Linked DNA regions of Struthio camelus. Each later gene encodes a partner of the first gene's protein in a complex. Links are inferred from orthologs where the notes say so. Each region holds a gene or a part of one and is shown on either strand. Other genes may lie near its edges. The genes, in order: G3BP1, ELAVL4 and CAPRIN1.

What was found.
Region 2: G3BP1 (region 1) and ELAVL4 share a complex: the UniProt entries of both Homo sapiens proteins name them as parts of the TAU mRNP complex. The link is inferred for Struthio camelus from reciprocal best matches to the Homo sapiens genes G3BP1 and ELAVL4.
Region 3: the proteins of G3BP1 (region 1) and CAPRIN1 are in contact, whole or in part, in a crystal structure (PDB 8TH7), measured with the Homo sapiens proteins. The link is inferred for Struthio camelus from reciprocal best matches to the Homo sapiens genes G3BP1 and CAPRIN1. Residues at the interface, in NP_005745.1 of Homo sapiens: Glu4, Lys5, Pro6, Ser7, Leu10, Val11, Glu14, Phe15, Arg17, Gln18, Thr21, Leu22, Met29, His31, Arg32, Phe33, Tyr34, Gly35, Lys36, Gln58, Lys59, His62, Leu114, Glu117, Asn122, Lys123, Phe124, Tyr125; in NP_005889.3 of Homo sapiens: Met363, Gln365, Met366, Gln367, Gly368, Pro369, Tyr370, Asn371, Phe372, Ile373, Gln374, Asp375, Ser376, Met377, Leu378.

Annotation. Positions count from the first base shown.
Region 1 is NC_090954.1:13,100,298-13,107,938, reverse strand, and holds the start of G3BP1 (ras GTPase-activating protein-binding protein 1), read left to right. Parts: upstream 1-4,560; 5' UTR 4,561-5,036; intron 5,037-7,641. UniProt on the Homo sapiens protein: Protein involved in various processes, such as stress granule formation and innate immunity. Plays an essential role in stress granule formation.
Region 2 is NC_090949.1:30,524,877-30,532,761, reverse strand, and holds the start of ELAVL4 (ELAV-like protein 4), read right to left. Parts: upstream 3,085-7,885; 5' UTR 3,070-3,084; coding exon 2,953-3,069; intron 557-2,952; exon of another isoform or gene 365-556; coding exon of another isoform or gene 356-364; intron 1-355. UniProt on the Homo sapiens protein: RNA-binding protein that is involved in the post-transcriptional regulation of mRNAs. Plays a role in the regulation of mRNA stability, alternative splicing and translation.
Region 3 is NC_090946.1:33,683,817-33,691,296, forward strand, and holds the start of CAPRIN1 (caprin-1), read left to right. Parts: upstream 1-4,420; 5' UTR 4,421-4,742; intron 4,743-5,042; 5' UTR 5,043-5,047; coding exon 5,048-5,263; intron 5,264-5,403; exon of another isoform or gene 5,404-5,681; intron 5,682-7,480. UniProt on the Homo sapiens protein: mRNA-binding protein that acts as a regulator of mRNAs transport, translation and/or stability, and which is involved in neurogenesis, synaptic plasticity in neurons and cell proliferation and migration in multiple cell types.

The DNA.
Region 1 (7,641 bases):
CTCTTCCGCCATGGGGACTGGCAGCACCTTCCTGGCCCTGGCATCTCTGCTGGGGCAGGGCCCAGCCAGCACAAAGACCTTGTCCCCACACAGCCCTCAGCCCACACGGATCCCCCCCTTGCCCCACACGGATCCCAGCCCACACGGATCCCTCCTTGCCCCCCCACCCCCCCCACCCACACAGATCTCCCCTTGCCCAACACACCCCCCTGCCTGCATGGATCCTCCCCTTGCCCCACAGGGATCTCCCCCCACACAGATCCCCCCTTGCCTCACACCCCCCCACCCACATAGATGCCCCCTGGCCCCACACAGATCCACTTTGCCCACACACCCCTCAGCCCACACGGATCTCAGCCCACACAGATCCCCCCTTGCCCCAACCCCCCCTGCCCACACGGATCCCCTCCAACCCCACACAGATCCACCTCGCCCCATACCCCCCCCACCCACACGGATCCCCTCCGACCCCACACAGATCCACCTCGCCCCATACCCCCCCCACCCACACGGATCCCCTCCGACCCCACACAGATCCACCTGGCCCCATACCCCCCCCACCCACACGGATCCCCTCCGACCCCACACAGATCCACCTGGCCCCATACCCCCCCCACCCACACGGATCCCCTCCGACCCCACACAGATCCCACCTCGCCCCATACCCCCCCCGCCCACACGGATCCCCTCCGACCCCACACAGATCCACCTCGCCCCATACCCCCCCCACCCACACGGATCCCCTCCGACCCCACACAGATCCACCTCGCCCCATACCCCCCCCACCCACACGGATCCCCCCTGGGCCCCACACGGCTCTCCCAGTCCCCCACTACCCTTCGCCCCGCACCGCCCCAGCCCCGATGCCCGATCCCAGCCAGGCCCAGGCCCAGGCCCAGGCCCAGGCCCACGGCGGGGCCCCCCCGGGGGCGCGGCCCGGCACCCACCGGCATGGCCGAGCGCGGCGGCGGCTCCGGGGCGGCTGGGGCGGAGGAAGGGGCGGGCCGCGCTCCGCGCCGCTCCGCCCCGCGCCGCTCGGCCGGGCCGGGGCCGGCCCTTCCCGGCGGCCTCGCAGGGCCTCCCACCGCCCCGCGCCGCCCTCCAGCCCCCGCCCGGCCTCCCCCAGGCCCGCACAGCCCTCCGACCTCGCACAGCCCTGCCCCAGCCCACAGGACGGCCGCCCTGAACGGCCCACGTCGCCCGCCAGCCCCCCATGGGTCCCCCCATCCCTCTCCCTCCCTACAGGCCTCACAGCCCCACGCAGACCGTGGCCCCGCACGGGCCTCCCCCAGCCCCCCAAAGAGCCCCTGCTCCGTACAGGCCTCCCAGCCTCACACAAACCCCTCACCCCCTCTATGGTAATATATATCAGGGTAATATACACACGCACGCATATAGGTATATATAAAATATATATATATAATTGATATCCCAGCCTCCCCTGCCCTGGGCCTGCCCCCTCCTCTCCCAAGCAGCAGGCGGGCTGGGAGTCAGGGTTGCTTCCCCCTGTTACATGGCAGTTGGGCTGTTACTAGGGACCAGATGGACTCTGGGTTGGTCTGTGGAGCAGCACTGGTATAAACCCAGGCTTATATCCCCCAAGCAGGGACGACCCGGGCCTCACCGTGGGGTAGCTCAATGTTAGCTTAATGTTAATGTTGCACCAGCAAAATCATTCCCATTGCATTCATTTCTAGCTAGTAACCTCCCAGTTCCTGGCATAGCTCCACAAAAAGTGGTTTTCAAAAGATTTTGCAAAGTCATCCAGGGGCCAGTAACTGGGGTTAACTAAACAGAAACACAGGGATAGTAGTGTAATTAAAGAGAGATTGCTACTGTGCTGAGAAGGGGTTACAGCAAAACAGGAGTATCAGAGCTAATGCCTTTTTTTGTACTGGCATGAATTAGTTTAGGCCCTGTTTATCACAAGCCTTACCCAAACTGTATTTGATGCGGGTGTTTGTATGCCATTGGGCCTGTTCTTATACTGACCACAAACTGCTTTTAGTAGTATTTTAGGGACACCTATGTAATTCTTAGCAGAATTGTTTTTCTCTGACAGCACTACAGCTTAACTACAGCCCTGCTCCTGCAGTTATGTTTTTCTTTCTGTTTTTCTTGCACTAAAATATTTTCCCTCCTTCTTAGGAGATGCATTGGAGATGATGTTGGATGAACTCTGCTCGGGGTCATGCTGAAGCAGAACGTCTCTCAGCTGAACAAACTGGCTCAGTTTGCCTGAGGTGGAAGTAAAACTGAGGTAAACTGAAGGCATGAGATGCTCGAAAGGGTTAAAGAGAAAGCAGCTGAGAAAGTTTGTAGTCAATAGGGATCCGTAACAGCTGCTGGGGAATTTCACCACTCTTAGCATAGTGGTATGCCTCTTTGTGATCAAAGGCTAATGATCAGCGCAGAGACAAAGTGGCTGCAGGAGAGAGATGGGAAGAGTCATAAAGGTGGAGCAATAGAGGTGAAGGTTGGCTTGGTTGCTTCACAGAACTGTCTTTGAGGTTTTGAGATGCACTGGAATAGAAGAGCTCTGGTAGACTGGATTATTGAATAAGATTAGGGGTTTGGGGGGGTCTCTGCTTCAAAGTAGGTTGAGTGAAAGGAAGCTGTCCCCTGGGGGTGGGGGGTCTGTGTGTCTACTTGGCCCTTTCAAGGAGAATGGGGTTTTTTGTTAAAAATCTGAGTCGAGGTAGAAGAGGCTGGAACTCGAGGAAGTGAGGGGAAACCTGTGGTGGGACACAGAGGCTGGGATCAGGGTTATTGCAGTTAAGGTGTGTTGGCAGGCTGTAGATTGCCAAGAAAGGAGACCGTGCAGTAGGTCAGAGCTGAGAAAAGCTGGTAGAGCTGTGTAGGGAGGTGTAACACTTGCTAACTGTGTGCTGGGCTTCAATATCTGCCTATTAAGAGGCCTAACTTGTAACTGGAAAAATAACTGGGGTAGGGAGTGTATCTGGTTATCTGTTAGGATAACAACTGTAGCTGCATCTTGGGACTTCAGCTGGCCCTGGCTAACTCTTCCCCTTGCAATGAATTTATAGTGAATATGCTGTGCCCCTGCCAGGAAGACTGGGCAGAAGGGGATGTGAATGGTCTTTCTTAGCAAGCTTCAGTTGCATTAGAGGAAAGAGGGTACTCATTTCTAATGTGTGCAGGACCCTGTTGTTGCACCAACCTTCTTACATGAGAAATGGAATTATCTGAGAGCCTGTCCCCCTGTTATATTGCTGCTGTTTCCAGAGAGACATCTGGGGTCTGACTGGCAGAGAGGTTTTATTTTGGATGGCTGTTGTGCTGGGTCATTGGTCTCATGTTAAGCTTTCCAAAAATCTCTGCTACTGATTTATGAACTGGCAGATTGCAACATGGCTTAGTCTATAAATAGCAGGGGTGTATGTGTGTGGGGGGGAAGGATATTAATGCTGAACATGGCCCAGTGCCAGTCCACTGGCTACATCTCTGCAAGGCATGGCAGGAAGGGTTTAGGCAATGTTCACGGATATGGTGGAGGGAGAGGAGTCATTATTACAGGGTCAAGTATATCTGATTGCTTCATGTCATAGGTATAGTAGGGATAGGAGATGATATAAACAAAGAGGAAAAAATTGGCCTTCCGTGATTTGGCTTGCTCAGGTTGAGTGTCTGCTCCCTTTCCATCCTTATCTCCTCTGGCTCCCTGGACCAGCATCTGCTAGTCCCCAAGCATAGCTCCTGGGAGTGACAAAGGAGCTGTGAACTTTAAGAGCTCACTCCTCCTTTGCAGGATTTCTTGGGCCTTGCATAGTGGGTTGGAAAATTCCCAACTTGACTTGTTCTTCTGGGACAGATGACCTGTCTACTTTGGTCAAAACTTGTGAAGGAGGAGCAGCTGAATGAATTCCTCTGCTCTGGGGTCCCTTGAGGGTGAGCAGAAGAAGTAAGCCCATGTTTTCCTAGCTTGGAGATGGTGATTGCTGTCTTCTCCTTTGTTGTGCGAGTGGACGTGCTGTTTGGGAACCTGTTTCTGGTGACCTCAGTTGTAGTCCTGTGCAGAAAGCTGGAGAAAAGCTCCTTTTACCTGACCCTGCTGGTGGTTTCTAAGTGGGTTAGTTCTACAGGGACTGTCGCCGAGGGCTGTCCTCAGAGCTCTAAGTCCGTATAGCGCTACTGAGGCTAATGGCGCCACAAGGCCGCAATGCTGAGCGCGGGGACTGAGGTGGGCGGCACGGCACGGCCTGCACTGGCCGTGGGGCGACCCTGATGGCTGGCTGTGCTGGGGGGGCCTCGGGGCTGCCGGGGTGATGGGGCTGGTGGTGTGGGGGAGGCCGAGCTGGGGGGCCGGGCAGGTGCCGGGGGAGGCGAGGCGGGGCGGGGTGAGCTTGGACACCTTTGGCCCTCCCCGCCGCCGCCATCTTGAGTGCCGGCCCCGTCCCTCCAGCAGGGGGTGGTGGTTCCGCACTCGCGCGGGCTGCCTGCCCCTTTAAGAATGGCCAGGAGCCGGCCTGTCCGTCAGGGCCCGCTGCGCTCTTCCATTGGCCGCCGCGCTCCGTGCCGCATGGGGTGCCGCCCCTACCTATAACGGGGTTTACCAGCACCTTCTCAAGGGCGCCGCTCTGCGCCTCAACCACACTACCGCGTCAGGCCAGTGCCGCCCCTCGCGCTTATCAGCGCGAGGAGCGTCGTTCTATTGGCTTCTAGGGAAATCCATCAGCTCCCGCCCCACCCTAGCAGCGGGCGCTCCACCTTCCATTGGCTCATCTCGGTGTCGGTCACTCTTACCGCCCTGCGGAGCTGGGCCGCGTGGTTTGTGAAGCGTGCTGCCGCTCAACGGCCCGCCCGCCTTCTTTCCCCACCATGGGCCAACCAGCATCCGAGTGAGAGTGAGCGCCGCTCTTTGATTGGCTGCGCCGCCTGCCACCGGGCTAGGCTGCGCGCCGGATATATGTAGCCGGCCGCTGAGCACGCCGTTGCGTGAGGTGCTTCTCGTCCGCCGGGCAGGGCTGCGGTGAAGCGACGCCTCCCGTTCTCGTCCCGTCCCGCTCCGCCCGCAGGTGAGGAGGAGAGCGAGGGTCCGCGGCCGCGCCGGGGAGAGGGCAGCGGCGGGGTCGACTGCTTCCGGAGACGGTTGCGAACGGCTGGGCCTGGCTCGAGCCGCGCGGCTCGGCGGTAGGCCGCGCGCTTGGGGGGGGGGGAGGGGAGCGGAGGGGTCTCCCCCCACCCCCACCCCTCGTTCTCCCGGCTGCCCCCGCGCCCCGCCGGTCCCGGCCCCGCGCGCAGGGGCCGTCCCGGGCCTGGCCCGGCGGCGCTGTGCGGCGGGCGCCCTTCCCGCCTGCCCCGCAGACGGGCTTCGGCAGCGTCCTTGGGGGTGTCCCGGAGCGGGGAGTCCCCCCACCCCAGGCGGCCGCGCCACAACAGAGTCCTGGCGGCAGCGGGATGCAATGGTGCGCCCGCTCGGAAAGTAGATATTGGGGAAAAAAGAGTGCTAATTTTCGGAGGGGGGGGGTCCCGGGGAGGCACCCACCCGAGCGAGGGGGCTTCATTGTGCGAGCGGAGGTGTAGAGCCGCGAGCTTTGTCTGCGGCTTTGCGGAGTCTGCTCTGCCCCTCCGCTGGGTTGGGGGGAGCCCCCAGACCTGCCGCTGAGCTGGGGTAGGCCCTTTCCGCAGTGGGTTGGCGGTAGGTTGAGGAATAATACTTGGTATTTACACAAGTGTGCCAGTAGGTTAGATTGTAGGTGTGTGTCTCTCTTGCCGCAACTTTACGCGTGGGGGACGGGGGGTCATAACTCAAGCATAAGATGAGCATGTAACTTATTCCTGATATACTTCGTGACCTTGGCTGGATCTGGGATTAAGCCAACGTTTAAATGCAAAGTAGTCCATCTATGAAGACTTTCCAGCTTTTTGTAAGGCCCTAGATATGTTTGTCAGGAGAAGGAAAAGGTTTTCATGTATGTGTTTCAGGTACGTTTTAGTCTGAATGTGTGTGATATAAGGTGTTATTAGTACCTGGTGGCCTTTTATGTTAAGGGTTGCACATAGTAAGTATTCCTTCCAAAGAAAATGATTTTTTCACAATGGGTTAAAAGCAGCATTTGCAGCAAGCCGCCATGTTTCCAGCGTATGCTATTTTTGTCTAGCCCGTGCTCTCACAAGCAGAAGTGACAGCTTTAGGAAATGTGGACGCTGCTATCAAGCTCTGAAAGCTAACACTTCCAGGTGCCGTAAATCAAACTTGGTGTGCATGCTGGATTGTTTTCAACTACCAAGACTTTTTAGAATGGCATTCCAAAGAAAAGCGAGTGCAGAAGTTGACACACAAACCACACTTCAGTTCTTTTCTGAATCTTTCTTTTGACCAAGTTTTCTATTTTCTTATTCCTCCTCTGTCAAGAATAAACCTAATGAGTTTCCTAAAAGGTAGTTCTATAATACTTGGTGGTAAAATGGTCGCATCTTGTGAAGTGAATTCACCTTTTCCAGAGGTATTTCAGCTCAATGTAGTGGAGCTGTTCTTGCTAAAGGACGGTTTAGTTGAACGTACAGCTTAGAACATACAAGAAAGTGTTTACTTCTTTTTTTTTGGTGGCACGGCAGGCTCAGAAATAGGAACATACAATAAGTATGTAGTGCGAAAACTTTTTTCCTAACTGTGACTATAAAACGTTATTCTTCTGCTCTTCTGTTCATTTGTCACTGTCACAATAGCATCGATTTGAGTTCATCATACAACTGATGATATTCCAGATCAGAAGCTCTTGATTTTAAACATGAGATCTTTAGGCACTTGACCAGACAGCAAGCTCCTCCTTGCAGTCTTAATTTTTGTGTGCTTGCATACAATCTTTCTGGAATGTGCTCCAAAGATTTGTAGACTTGTTATTGCATTTCACACTTCTTATAAAGTCACTCCTGTAAGAGCTAAAGTGTGTTTACGTTTTTGACAAGATGCATCTTAGCTTTGATATACCGCTCATGTTCTGAAGTGGCTGAGCATATATCTATTGGAAGATTGGTTCAGAAAAATCAAACTCTGTTTCTCCTTGCGAATTTTTACAATCACATACAGAGCAACGCTTTTTAATGGAAGTGCATTAATGAAAACAAAGATAGTGTTACTGCATGTACACAGGTATTGTTGCTCATGCAGTAGATACTTCTGAGACAGCATTCACAAAGTTAACAGAAATGACCTGTTGGACAAATTAGAAAATAGATTATTGCAGTTTTTAATATTAGAACCTGAGCTTTTTTTTTTTTACTTTATATAATGAATGGAAAATGAAAGAGAAGAAACCAAGTAGAGCAGTTCTTAGGGTGGTGCTAGCTGTTATGCTGGCTTTAGTCTATTGTACTGAACAAAAGGTGAAAGTTTTTTTTTCCTAGAAGACTGGTGCTTGTTACAGCTGACTACCTAAAGTCTTCAAAGTTGATTTGAAGTAATACATAACTTCTCCTTGCCAGAACTACTAGTAGACTTGATAGTCTTTAGCTACTTCATTGGGGTAATAAAAAAAAAAAAAAAAAACTCAAATTATTTTTAAAGACTGTCTACTAATTTTTTAGGCAGTGAACATTATACTTGTCAGAGGTCCTAGTTTTGCTATATTAAGTCTGGACCTCTTCCAGAAAGACATAGCTGGGGGAGTGCAACATTGA
Region 2 (7,885 bases), on another chromosome or scaffold:
AGTTAGCCACATACCAGCCTTGCATTAGAAATGAGCTATTTCTTTATTCTGAGAGAAATCACAATTACCTTAAAATGACAAAGTACATCCTTTATTAAAGGATACGCACACATTAAATATGAAAGAAAGGGAGAGCGAGAGAGAGAGAGAGAGACAGAGAAAGCAGGGGAGAGAGAAAGGGAGAGGAAAAAAGGGAGAGATAATGTACAAACAAATCAGTAGCAGAAAACTAAATTCATGTGAAAACACAGACTGAGAATGATGCAGATTTGGGGAAATCTATATGTTAGATTCTATATCTATCTATATATATATAAAATTGCTATAAGCAGATTTTAAATCTACTAATACCTACCATAACCATTCTTAATGGCAAATATTGGGTCTTGAAAGGCTTCAACTCTTCTAAAGATTTGCTAAGGTTTCAGGGAATTATTTTTATTATTATTTTTTAAAGATCCACAAAGCACAGTGCAGACGTTTGTGCAGCAAAAGAATAAAAAAAGCGCACTGTGCTGAAGCCCCCCGATTCTAGGATGTAGATAAGAACAACTGAACAGAGCCTTGCTGAAATTGGCTTGCAGCGTCTCCTTTTTACATCCATTTATGGGACCATCTGTCAGCAGAAGCCGGGCGCCGATTGGCCGGGGACACTAAGGGAGGCGTTGCAACATCAGGTGCTATTGAAATTAGCTACCGCCAGATTGACAATGTTAATGATTTGGTGACCTCTACAACAACAGAGACCAGATTTCTGAACTGCTGCTTGTGTCTAGTAATTAAGGCCCAGTTGAAGAAACAACACACATACATGTATTTTTACCTCTTCCCACCCCACAAGTACAGTAACAGTTGCAGGCCACATCCACAGTCTGTAAGCCTCTGCTGTGGAGATGTCGTACCTCAGCCATGCTTCAGCGACTACATCTTCTTACCTCTTGCACGCATGGCTTTGAGGTCCAGAGTATTTTAACCACCTTATCTTTTGAGACAGTTGCTTTCCGGAGAAATGCATATTTAATGATCTGCCTCTAGGCTTAAAGATACGACAAAAGCACTTCAGTGTGCATTTAAACTGCATTTATTTTTAGGTACTATTGATTTTATTAATCAACTACTCTTGCCTCCTTTAGCGGTAAGAGTTTTCAAAATTATATATATTTTTAGCACTAGATTTGATACTCCTGTCACTTGACTTTGTCTAAAGCACAGCAGACATCTATTTATCAGAACATTCTCACAGAATGAAAGTAGTATTTTAGAATTATTTCGCTACCTCACTTCGTTATTCTCCAACTTTACAGGAAATAAAATGATGACTAACTCTGGGCATTTGAAAGAAATTTTTTTCCAGCCTTAGAGAGGAACGTGCTTAACTTAACAATGAACACCCATTAATCCTCCACTCGCTTCCACTGACAAACTAACAAAACTTCAATTTCAAACAGCAATATTTTCCCATCTCCCAGCCACAGCAAGTTTATTAAAAATTCTTTTAATTACGATGCATTCATTTCTTTTCTGACTTGAGGAGCTATTTTTCTGAAAGCGTGTATTGGCCAAACTAACAAGGCATGGCATCCTATAATTGCAACTAACCTTGAATTAACATTCGCCTAAACTAAAGCGACCGCGTATTAATCCATAAACATACATAGGAATCATTTAATTTTATCATTCTAGTCAACAGCTAAATATGGCTTTTAAAGATTCAATATCACTGCAAGCGTTTTTAAACGTTAAGAGCTAAAAACGGAGAAAGCTAGGATGGGCCATGATATAAGCTCACTTCGCTCTTCTGGAGAAACAAAACCTGGCTACAAAACACTAAAAACACTTTCAAAAATACGTAATCAGAAAAATCATTGTTCTATAGTTTTTTTTTTTTTTGAAGGATAAATATGCTCTAAGAACTGTTAAGCTCAGAACTGACATTCAGTACATTTTAAATTTCTTTAAGCCATAGACACACTAAAACCCACACACAAACACACCAATAAAATATATGAAATATAGTAAGCTTGTACAAATCTAGCTACAAACAGACCAAGCAAGAAAGAAAAGACCAAGCATTTAAAAGCACCATGCAACCTATTTGTGGAATGAGCACTGAATTCAATTAAAATACGAGCAATTTCAAAGGCTGCAGAGGATTTCTCTTACCATGCATCTTTTTGAGCACATTTGTAGCTTAGTAAAAACTGGAAAAGATTAAACTAAGATTGATTTCCTAACTCAAATACTAAGTGACCTATTAGAGTGAATACACTGGCATCGAAATGCTACAGAGCTAGTATATTACCATAGACTCTTGTGCAAATATACATTGAATATTAAAGTTAAATTTGTAATGCAAATTTTTACTTAAGGTCTCTTCAGGGGTTAATAACACTGCAGAAGGAATCGAGAAATTATTTTTAAGTCTTTTCAACTTCAGCCTACTTTGTTGCTATACATTTCTTATACACATCAAAAGATTCAGCCATTTTTCTGAAACAATAATTGCACCCTGTGCTTCTAAACAATTAGCTATTTTAACAGTCTATAAATCCAGGTACTTTGTACGCTGACCACTTTTCCCCCAAACACCCCTCACATTCAGTCCTGCCGAGGAACGCTAAAACAAACGCTCAAACGTCCTCAGAGGCCTCTCTCTGTAAAGACAAAGGCAGAATCCTATTGTTGAAAAAGTCAACCTTATTCTCGTGTTTCCAATACTACCATTTCTCTCTCAGGGTGAGTGACTGACCACTGCATCGCAGTTGTGACACATTTGTAAAGCATCAAATTCTCAATATAGCCTCTCCAGAATCAGCCAGTAAGCCCCTGAGCAAAGCATATTTTTAATGCAATCTTCCATCCCCACAAAAAAGAAACTTGTCTTAAACAGCTAATCCAATATCAAAATGAAATCACAGGGTTGTTTCCCCAACCCCCCCTCCCTCTCCTTACCATAAATGAGCAGTTTCTTGACTCATTAATGACAGTTTCCCTTAAAAGAAGTGATCTCATATCACTGAGCCCCTCTCCACCACGCATACATCCCAAAGGTTGCGGGTATCTTAGCATCAGTAGCCGCTAGCAAGCTCTCTCATACAGAGCCCAGATGGACTATACCAGAAGCCAATTCAGCGTTAATAACTACCTACTCTGTGCAGTTTAGAAGCCTTACGTGGCATAATGTCCTAGGCAACAGCAGCCGATTGAAACCGCAAATAAAAGCCAACCCAATTCTCCAAAAGCATCAAAAGGAAAAAAAAAATAATAAATTGAAGAATGATTTTTTTAATCTCCTACTTTCGTAAGATTAAACTGAATCCTTCATAAACATATGAAAAAGGAGAAAAAACAGATGCTGCCCAGAAAAAGTGACAAAATATTACCTCATTATTTAACAAAGCAGCATTAAGCGTCCTGCTGATTTCAAACATCTTGCCACAGATTTTGGTTAAGAGGAACAGAAAGAATCCTTTGCAAGCCCTCTGTCTGCAAAGGGTTCTTCAATTTTCTTGCGCACAACAGAATAGTCAATATGTTATTTCCCTAGAGTTCGCACATTAAAACATCTAGTCAGTGAGCTGAATTTTCCCCTTATCATACAGTAGACTCCTGTTATATGTACTGCTCTCTTTGCAAGATTAGCCTGCCCCAAACATGGCTGTTGTTTAAACTATTCTTTAAAGTAACAGTTCACTCCATAACCACCAGGTGGGCAGTGTACACAGATTCAAGTAACCATCTTAAAGATTTTTCTTGGAATAGCTTTTGGTTGTGATATACAGCACAATTTCCCCCCCCCCCCACCCCCCATTTATCAAGCAGGAAAACAGGGGGGGAAAAAAAAAAAAAAAACATTTTGCACTGTTTTGTGCCCTTTCCTTCCCTAGAGTAAGACCGAACAAAAATCCTAAATCACTTAACTTTTACCAGTGATTTTTTTTTTTTTTTAAAGGGACCTTAAAATTTATGCCAGAGTGTTTCATTCAGCAAAAATGAACTAAACGATTAAAAAACCAATCAATTCAGGTAATAAAGTGTAATTAACAGAGAAAGTACACCCATAGAAATGCTCTCTATTGCAGAAGAAAAAATTAACATCAAGCTCAGCATGACAATGGTGTTTCAAGAAAACATAAAATTCAACATATAAATAATTCACATGTGGGTAGACTGTTAGAAAATATGAACTATACCTTCAAGCAAAATTGAAGACAACTTGATAAAATATTGCTATTGATGTATTTTGGCTTAAATTAATTTATGTAATCACTGTTACACGCATTAGAGCACAAGTCTAAAATATATATATAAAAAAGACGGTTTTCAACAGCACCTAAGTCTAAGTTATCAAACCCTCCCCACCACATGTCTGCAAGCTATTCAGAAATGGTTTTTGCCTTATTTAAGGTCAAATACATCAAGGAATACTCCTATTACTATATATATATTTTTTTCTTTACTCATCGCTCTACAGCAACACCCAGAGGCTTGAATTAGATCAGAATACTTTGTGTTAGGTGCTGTACAAACACAGTAAAAAGGACACTTGCATTGAAGAAATTAAAAACAACATTTACAAGATTAAAGCACAGACAGAGGTGTAAGGAGGAACAATGAACAAAGAGGATCACAAAAGCCTGTCTTTACTGGCTAGCAGGAATGGCTGTGAGAATTAAGGGCCCTTTTTCAACTACCTATGCTAAGGCAGAACCCAAGAGGTTATATACTGAGGCTAAGGAATAAAAGCATTATATGAATAGGGGTTTCTTCGCGTTTAACACTTACAAGTACCATCACCCAATTCTTTCACATATAGCAATCCTTGCTGAGTAAGTATATGCACAGCAATGATTTTCTTTGTTGGCCTTTAACTAATATTAAAGTGATGCAGTAATGACTTAACCTTCTTGAATATGTATTGAGTTTCAAGTCATCCCTTTTTATATGAGGAGAAAGGTTATTTGCATCGATTTCTGTTTGCATGAAATAAGCTTATTTCCTCATTCACCATATGCCTTGAACCCTAATTAAAAGTGTCACTTTCTTCTAATGTAAAAATGTAATCATTTAATAAATGAGTATTCTTGGCTTTCTGGTCTTTGTGATAATCTATTTAAGGACTTTTTATTTCCAGGTAACTTCAGTGCTTTGATTACCACACATTCCACTGATTTAAAGAAAAATGTTTTATAAATATACATCTTTTTTCAAACCAAAAGGAAAAAAGGCTGGAAGTACATCTTTAAGGACCCACACTCCTCTTACCCTGAGGCAAATCCATCCAATCAATATGAAACCATTCACATGCCACCATCTGCCAAGCTGTAGAGCAATGTGGCTGGAACAGACCTCTTATAAAGCAGCAGTAGTCTCATTTTCAGTCTATTAGGAAAGCACCAGAGCTCTCATGTGCAAGGACACAAAACTTCAACTCAGACTCTTTCACACCAGTTTCTCTGTGCACTGCTGCAGAACTCCCATAATTTTTGCTGCTCGAGTTTTCACGCTAATCATCAGAGCAAGAGGGAGGAGAAAGTGATCACTAACAGTCCTATTTCACTGCAGTACAAAATAAAGAATTCAGTTTAATTCTATCCTAATATGATTACAGCAAACCATTTAAATGCTGCTGCCTATGAACTACAGCCTGGCATTTTCCAGCACTTCATTTTCACTTTTCCAGTGGATTACACATTTATGCTTAAAACTACGTTTATTCTTTTTTAAGACACTTCTATCATAAAGTTAGTATTTAATTCTGACCAAAGAATATTTTGCTGTTGGCATAGGGGAGGGTGCAGGCGGATGAGGAACAAAGGAGACACGCGCGACAAAGATGGATTTGAACTATAAAATGATTTAAAAGAAAACAATGGGCTAGGAAAGGACATTACACAATGCAAGCACTAGGGTTTGCCCTGTGCAGTAATTCAAGAACCTCTGCAGAAACACAGTCTCCAGTTCAAGATATCACATCAACACTATCTTTAACAACACTGAGCTCACATGCAGCATTTTCAGCAGTGGATCTCATAGTAATTTAAAATGTCGTCATCCACCACTTACACTACTGCCAAATCCACTGCATGAATTTAAAAGAGAGCGCCAGAAGAAAAAGTGAATACAACGGGATGGAAACCCCTTATGAACGTACACAGGGAGAACCGACTATTTCAAAGCCATCTATGCAACCACAAGAAAATCTGAAAAGCTTCATGTACAATTAAGTGATGTTGGAAGTCCTCAGTTTTGGTAAAAAAAACCTAGGGTCAAATTGTCCATGATGCCTAACCCAAAGTGAGACATCAGGAAAGAGAAAAAACCTGAACAATCAGCCTTGTTAAACAAACTGCACGCGTATGCATAGGAGATGAGATGGACCTGCTGGGGGCAGGAGGGAGAGGACAACAACAATGGCTATACAGAGTATTTACCCATACAGTAAGTTTTTACCTGTTATTTGAACAGCTTACTATATACTATCTATAAATAAGTTTATTTAGCTACTGAACGTTTAAAGAAAAAAATCCTACCAACTGGCCTGTGCAAATGAAGCAGCAGTAGGTGATAGAGACTGTAACACTGCATGACACAAAGTGTTCTTTAGACAACTGCCCTTTAACATTAGAGAATTCACATATTTGAGGAAAAAAGGAGATTAAAATTTTTAAGGTTAGTCTACATTTGATTACACTATGCATAAAATAGTAGTGATAATCAAATGCTAAAAAAAGGTTTAGAAAGGTCCACAAAACATAGGAAAAACTAAATAGTAGGTGAAAGAAAAGATGACTGATATGGTTTGTGGCTTTTATTTATTTGTTTCTATTTTTTGATGATTCTCTCAGGAATGCAGGAATCCATTCCTGCCTCTCGTTCTCTCCCTGCTGTAGACCCCACTGACTAGCTGTACAAGCTCTGCTGCTGATGTATCATGCTATCTTGTATGCTGAGATTCCTCTTGTTACTGGGGAAGCTAAATATGCCATGGATCTGCCTGGAAATCCTGTCACTTTTTTGATCTGTGCCCAGAAAGAAAAATCCAAGACTGGTTAGAGAGCAAGCTAAGGAGGTCTGGAGCGAAAGGACACTTGATGCAAAACCAGACCAACCCATTCCCCCTATATGTACATATAATCCTTGCATTAGATACATGCAACATGAATTTAGATACATGAAATTTAAACAAGTTGTTACAGCTCCCACAGAAATCACAATTCAGTTGCCTTTATATGTATATGCTATTTAATGTAGCTTGCCTAATTTTTTTTTTTTCCATGCCTTACGTGATGTATATTTTGGATGTTTCATAGTTGCTGTATCACACTAATTTTCTAAAGATGTGGGCATCTGCAAGTCCCACTGAGGATACTTATGTCTGAATGCTGGGAAACTGCAACAAAATTCTCAAGGGCGCAGCAGAGCACAGAGGTAACAAAACGAGTAGGTGTAAATAGCTCGATTATGAGAGAAGTCTCGGTGATATGACCCACATGCTCATTTTCAAAACTGGGAACTGGGCTTCCAAGCATGCATGCATGTCAGTGAAACAGGCATGCACCCAGCTACTAAGTCAGTGAAAACCTGGAAAAGCTGTGCTGTTGTGTAATGTGCATGGGCACAAGAGAGCACAAGACCTCTAACACCCCCCCTCCCCCCAACATACACTTTCCAAAATGCATCAAATTGAGCAAAAGAAAATGAGGAGGGGCCAGAGAAAGGAGCAGAGCAGGCAGTGTTGAGGAAGGGGACAACAAACAGGAGCTGAGAAGGAGGTGGAAAATTTGCAATAATATTAGGCCTACCTATTAGAAGGAGAATAAAGAAAAGAAGAAAACAAGAACTTTACTCTTCATATAAGATCACAGCCTGCCATCTCAGCAAA
Region 3 (7,480 bases), on another chromosome or scaffold:
AATAGGGAGCAGACTTGCTAATAATGAGAGAAAACGACATACCATGCATGGGTCAGAATTGCTGGTTTAGGAAAACACAGTACATAAAAGCAGGGTGGGAAAGATGGGGAGACATAGGATTGGCTTCCGCCTTGGAGAAGCGGGTAATGAGAAGATAGAAAGGTACGGAGCTTGGGTACAAGGTTTGGGGAGATAGGGGCACCTATGCCTAGACAGGACACTAGCACTGTCTTGACAGGAATGGTCCAAATGAGACGGAGCTGCAGAGACACAGCTTGTCTTTGGATTTTGCAAGGAACTAACCTGAGACCTCGCTCTTGCTTGGAAGTAGTTCTCAAGAAACAGGGCAAGAGGAATTTCTTTTATTGGAGAAAAACAGCAGAGCAGGGGGCTATTAGTACTTCTGTGCAGGATCTTCATGGGGAAGGGCAGGTCTTGAGTTTGTGGAAATTACCTAAGCAGCTCCGTGCATGAGGGGAATCTGAAATAGAAAGGGCTAGGAAGGTTGTGTTGAGAACAACTACAGTGACATAAGGGAGGATCAAGGAAACTGTCTGAGGTGGCAGCACAGCGGAGGAGGCTCTATATCCCTACAGAATATTTATTTATCACTTGAGCCCTGATTAGAAGTACACCAGCAAGTGTAAGACCGTTCTCCTCCTTTTTTTTTTTTTTTGTGCCACTGGTTGGTTAAGGGGTTTTTTGTTTGTTTGTTTTTGTTTTTTAATACACCTGTCTGGTTTTGTCCATTAGCGTTTCTAAGGGCTGGAAACTGAGAAACACAGAAAAGATGTATTCCAAATTTGCAATTACAGCTGATGTAAAATAATGACAAATGAAAACCCAGAGAAGGACAGCATGTGAGAAGTCTCACTGGAGAGCAAAGAGCAGATCTACATGTCTCCTATATCTGTCTCCATGCTGCTTGTAGGGAGGTGGAGGCCTCCTTGTGCAATTTTGTGGTCTGAAGGTTCAGGTTTGTGGAAGTCCAACCTAGGCTTTCACTGTTCAGTAGGACTTATTTTTCCCTCCTCCCTTGCCTTTCTGCAGTGACTAAGCAAGTGCTACTCCAAAATCAGTAACTTCAGATTTCATCTTCATTTGTACAGTTTGCAAACATGAAATACAAAGCCAGCTCCCTACAAATAAGATGATTTGATTTGTACCATAATTAGGCAGAAGTGTGATTCCATCCAACGAGCTAACAAAAAAAGAGGTCAAAGGAGGAGAGGCCTGAATGATCTACAGGGAGGTCATCCTGCACAAGGTAAGTAAGGGAATACTTATCCCAAAGAAACGTAAAGACCTATGTGCTATTTACAAGTTTGTCATGCCAACTGGTCTGCCGATAGGGCATGATGTTACCACAGTAAAGCTTGCTCACGGAAATGTCTCTATATAACAAGTGGTTCAACACTTCCTTTGAAGTAAAAAGGATGAAGTCTCAACTCCTTCACCCTTGAAGGTGAGGAATTCTTATGCAGGCTTTTCTATCAGGAGTTCATCAGTGTTGTTGGCACAGAGGTATAATACGTTTGAGGTCACTGATCCTCAAGGAATGGTATGAAAAATGTAGATTAATATAGTATGACCTGTTGAAAATTATAGGCCTATTCACTGTTACATATATTTTAAGAGGACAAATCTCAGCTTGACTACACAGTGCAATTTTTGCATGAAAGTTTTTTTTTTTTTTTTTTTCAGAGTGAATTTTAGATACGGAAATTTTAACTTTAAAGTTAATGCAGACTAGGCCTAGATAGGCCTGCTTCTGCTTACATTTGCTGCCTAAAATGAGGTGTTCCCAGGCCACTCCAAGAGATTACTGAAAGTTTTGGGGATTTGGTATCAAAGAGGTTTAACTGTAGTTTAGTACCAAAAGTGGATTATGCTATGTACAATGATGATAGACGCCTTTGGTAAAGTTGCCATTATATAGTAACTCATTGTTCAATGAATTTAGCAAGGCTTATCCCATGTTATACACAGAAATGTTACTTTATTAGTCTGATATCGAACATAAGTTCATTTTATTAGTATAATAGTATAATATAGAAGTCCTCCACTTTTAGTTTCTGTGTAAGAATACTTTCTTATGCTTTAGCACGTTGAGCGTAGCAATAGTCTCAATTCCATCTTTGACTAACCAGAAAGGCATCTGGTGTAATTATGAAGAGTTTTGATGCAATAACTGTCATGTAATTATCTCAGGAGCAGTATTCTTATCTTGGTGGGGGGGGGGGTTGGTTTTTTTTTTTCTTTTTTGAGACCATGAACACTTGCCATTCAGTGGTATGTCCTCCCACTAAGGATAACTATCTCTCTAGTGGTCAAGAGATGGGCTTTATTGTGGTCCAACATGACTTTTTAACTCATTGTCACCAGTCCTCCCACTGCTGTAACTTTTATGGCCGTTTTCGAGTTCTTCAGCAATGTAGTGTTGAGTAGAAACGATTTTAAGCTCCTGTGACTTGGCTGAAAAATGTACTTAAGCCATTGAGTTCCCAGAGCTTATAAAGAATTGCAATGGCAAAGCAAGAAAAAGTAGAAATAAATAACAATGGATAAAACAATACCATATTATTTAAGTATTACATTTTATGGTCAAAAGGCCTCAGTATACTTCAAATGTTCATGAAGAAACTGCGTCTGATTTGGGAAGAAGGTAATTTCAACTGTTCTGTAAGGGTTATAAAGAAATAAATAACTACATAAAAAATTAAATCTTGTAAATACAATGGCAAGAACAAAACATTACTGGCGAGTAGTGAAAAAGGAATTACTTTCAATATTTGATGGCTTTTTTTATACTTTATTTATTCGACTGAAATATATGCAGTTGGATGATTTATTACACTTGTCCTATAATCTGCTATGCAAAGAGGCAATTTGGAAAGCAAATAATCTGATAGCAGCTCAGTGCTTTGTCATCTTATGTGAAATGCAAGCATACATGAAAAGAAAAGTAGAAGCTTAAGAAGCAATGTTTACAGATGGAATAAAGAAAAATCTAATCATTCACACATTAACTACTAGAACATGAGGTCAAAGAAAGCAGTTTTCTGCTGGGTTATCAACTGCAGCTAACTCATGGAGAAACAAGAATCAGAATGGGAACAAGGAAAGGGAAAGGACTGTGTATAAGGGATCTGGTGACGATAGGAAGGGTAATGAGTCCTCTTCCTTTCTGCAGTGGAGAACCATTAGGCTGGCTCAGTTGAAGACACGGCTCTCACTTGTGTCACGTAATTGATTGTGTGGCTCCTTGACAAGATAGATCAAAGAATGATCCTGCTTTAAAGCAAAACAAAATGATAAAAATATGATCTTAACCAGTATTGCAACCAAAACTTTCCTCTTGAATTTGAAGGTGCGGAGAGGCTCAAGGGATATTTAAACTTACAATTTTTGGCACAGGCTGGTATGACGCACGCCTTGGTGCAACTGTGGCTTCTCCTCAAATTGAGACTGCTTTGTCTTAAGAAAGAACGTCATGATAGTTCATATTCTAACAATAATACATTAAAATAACACAAATTGCTTGTACTTGGTCTATGACTACAGTCTAAAACAAAGGCCAAGAAGGAGTTTAAAGAACAGAGTTGAGGTAACGGTTAAAAACACGTTTTGGGGCCTTATCTTGCCAAAGTATTTCTCCCATTGATTTCAAAAAGACAGCGGACTGAAATATTTTCAATGCTATTTGGCTCCATGCCGGCCACAGCCAGTGGCATTTCATTTCCTCATTAAAGAAGGTGTAACGGTCATGTGAAGTTTTCCTTTGCTTCACAAAAAAACAGATGCTATATCAGTACCTTTTTAAAAATTGATATTATTAGTTGTCAGCCTAAAGGTGAAGGTTCAGCACACAGCTGTTGCAGGGACACTGCACAGCTTTGGGCCACAGAAACGCAGGAACAGTTAAGGTGAAGCCTGGTAAGACAGGCGAGCGAGGGCAACTGTCTCTCGGGGACCGAAATGCGGTTATTAAGGCCCCCTGACAGCTGTGACACGCCATTCAAGGGAACCCTCCCGCCTTTAGGGACGTGCCTTAAGGGCAGGAGCAGGCAAAGAGCGGGCTCGGGAGCAGGGCTGAGGCTGGGAGTCGCCCACGGCGAGGCGGGAGCGGCGGACGGCCGAGGGGCCCTTCCCCGGGCAGGCCGCCGGCCTGCGCGACCCCCGCCTGGGGCAGGGGCTGCCCCACGCACGCCGACGCCGCCGGTGTGTCAGCGGGCGCCGCGGGACAGGACCGCGCGAGGGGGGCGGCCGGCCTCTGCCTCCGCCTCGCCAGCCAGGGCCGCGGCTCCGCGCACAACGGCCGCCGCGGGGCCCGGGCTCCGCGGCCCCTCTGATGGCGGCGGGCCGCCCCGCCTCGCTATTGTGTCTCGCGCGTAGGCGCCCGGCGCGCGCCTGAAGGACCCGCGGGCGGCAAGCCGAAGGGCAGGCCGGCTGCGGGCAAGCGCCTCCTCCGCCTGGGCACGGCCGAGCGCCGGAGCGGGCGGGCGGGCTCAGGCGTTCTCCGCGGGCACTCCCGGGCGGCGAGGACCCCGCGCTGCTCGCTCCCGCGCCGCCTGCCTTACGCGCTCGCGTGCGCGCTCTCGCTCCCTCCCCTCAGTCGCTCGGTGCGGAGGTAGCAGGAGCAGCGCAGGCGGCGGGGCCCGAGTCGGCTGAGGCGGCCATTCCTGTAGCGAGAGCGCAGCGCACTGAGTTCCCCCCCCTCCCCCGGGCCACTCGCGCACACGGTGAGGGGAGTGGCGAGGCCGTGCGGACACCGGCGGGGGGCGGGGGGGGGGAGGAGGGCGAGCTCGGGCGATGACCGTTGGCTCGGGGGGGGGAGCCGCGAGGCGGCCCGTCACGTGACCGCCCTGCGCGCGCCCGGCGGCGGCCGGCTCAATGGGCGGGGGGAGGGGGGCGGCGGGGCGCGCGCCGGCAGGTGCGGCTGGCGCGCGCGCCCTAGGCGTGGGGAAGCCGCCGAGTGCGCGCCCGCCCGCGTGTCCCCGCCGGCGGCCCGTTCCCCCGTAACGCGCTCTCTCTCTCTCTAGCAGAGATGCCCTCGGCTACTAATAGCACTATGGCCAGCAACAGCGGGAAAGCGGTGCCGGGCAGCGAGGCTGCCCCGGCGGCGGCGGCAGCAGCAGCAGCAGCCGCCGCCGCCGCCGCCCCGCCAGCATCGGGCGGCAGCATCACCTCGGTGCAGACCGAGGCCATGAAGCAGATCCTGGGAGTGATCGACAAAAAGCTGCGCAACCTGGAGAAAAAAAAGGTGCTGCTCTCTGCCCCCCCGCCCCCCCACCCCGGGGTGGGTCTCGGGCCCCGCGGCCCCGCTCCTCCCCGCCCGTCTCACCTCCCCCTCCCCCCGGGAGCTTCCGCCTTCTGGTGATGGTTGCCCTGGCGGTGGGCTACCTCGGAGCGACGGGGAAACATCCCATCCCATCCTGTTCCCTTCTGTCTCGCCTGTGCCGGCGATGCGCCGGCCGGCAGGGCAGTTCCTCAGCCGTGCCGTGCCGTGCCGTGCCGGCCGCGTTGGCTGGGGTGAGGAGCCGGCGGCCTGCTCGCGTTGTTCCCGGCGTCGCCCCCAGGGGCCGCCCGCTGGAAGGTTCCAGAAGGGCGAGCGGCTCTGCCTGCCGATCCCCTGCCGGGGTCCCCCTGCCCCCCGGGCCGGCCGCCCCTGCTGCGCGGCCCCGCGGAGCGCCCCCGGCGCGCCCCCGCCCTCTGCCACGCGCTGCCGGCAGCCGGCAGGGCCGGAGGGGTCGCGGCTGCCGCCCCCTCCCGCCGCGTGGCCCGTGTCCCGGCGAGACCCTCCGAGACGCGGCTTCCCCCCCCCCACACTCCGCCGCCTTCCGCCTTTTGTTCCCCTCGGGCGGCGGGGCCCGGCCGAGCTGCGCTCCCGGCCGGCCGCTGCGTTTGGCCCGCGATTTCCCCCCCCTCCCCGCCCCTCCCGGCGGCCTCCCGCTGCCCCGCACCGGCCCCGCCGCGCGGCGTGGGGGTGGGGGGCTGTGGCGCGCCGGGCGGCCTCCCCGCCCGGGCACATGGAAGCCGCACTAACATGGCGGCGGCGAGAGGCAGAGCCTCGGCCCCGCCGGCGGAACTGCATTGTGCGAGCAGCCGGCACAAAGCCGGGGGCCGCCGGCCACCCCGCCGCGCCCCACCGCGGGGTTTCACTGCGGCTACGCGCGCCCCCTCGGGAGTCTCAGCTCAGCGGGAAGCTGTCCTCAGGGAGTTATTTATAGGTACAGCAGCGACCAGATCCGTGGTCCTCAGAGGGTTCGAGCTGTGACAGCAGGGAAAAAGGGTGCTGTGGTTACTTTCGGTGTATACGGCCCCCGCTCTAGCTCGGTGTTGTTCGAGCCACAGAAGGGTTTCTAGCCCACAGAGCACAGAGTGTCCATCGGAGTTAAACACTAAAATACGTGTTACCTACAGTCTTATTTCAAGCTGGTATGTTAATAAGCTAAAATTTGGGAGTGTTAAAAATAACCTCATATCTGTATTGAGGTCCTAAATCTGTTTTTTCCACTTCACTGCCCTTTTACAGTTTTTCTTATTTATGAATTTGGCCTTTTTCTAAACTAGCACTTTAAGCAGCGGTAGTCTAGGCTAGTGTCCTGTGTTTTAGGAGGCAGAAATATCAGCAGTGAGTTAGGCAGTATAGCTGAGTTACAAATGAAGCAAGCTGGGTGTTGCTTTGTATCTGTAAATGTGTGTGCAATGTGGTTTCCCACTTAAAAAATGGATAGTGGATTTTTTTTTTTCCAAGCAAAACCAAAAGGACAAGCCAGGGACTTTAAGTTTTGGAGTTATAGGTTCTTGTCCTGGTCTGAGTACATATAGGTGCATATAGATGACTGTCTTAAACTCATTATTAAAATATGCATACATTCACACACACAAAAATACTGATCCTCAAGTTGAGAAGGAATGCAAAAATCTTTTAATATGTCCCCTAAGTGCTTTGGATAAAATAAAATGGTGTGAAAGGTTCAAAATGAGTGTCATGTCTAATGTATAGAAAAATCCTCCAGAAATAGCTTTCTAGGATGCTCAAAATGTATGTTTTGAAAATTAAAATTGGAAGGTGAAAAGTCTTCTGATCTATTCTGTACTTGGAAGAAATAAAGCGGATAAGCACAGTTTCATTGGTGTGTGGGTCAGCTTTCCTTTCTAGTAGCATTTTTATTTACCTTTAAAAATAAATAATTTACACCTAATTTATACCTGGCTGAGCCATTTCATTCTTTTTGAATGGACTTTTTGGTCAACTTCTATGTGAAGTATCTTAAGATGGAAGGATGTATGGAAGGCTATTATTTTCTGACAGAACAGGGTGAAGATTAGGGGTGTGTTTGTCTCATGAAAGCCCTAGTTTTTTTTTAGTTATGTGTCTGTGGCTGCTGTCACTGCTTTTTATAATTATGATGTCATAGCAAGTGAATACAGGGAATGAAGTGCCTTTTTTCTGGAAATGGCTTTTATTGAAAGA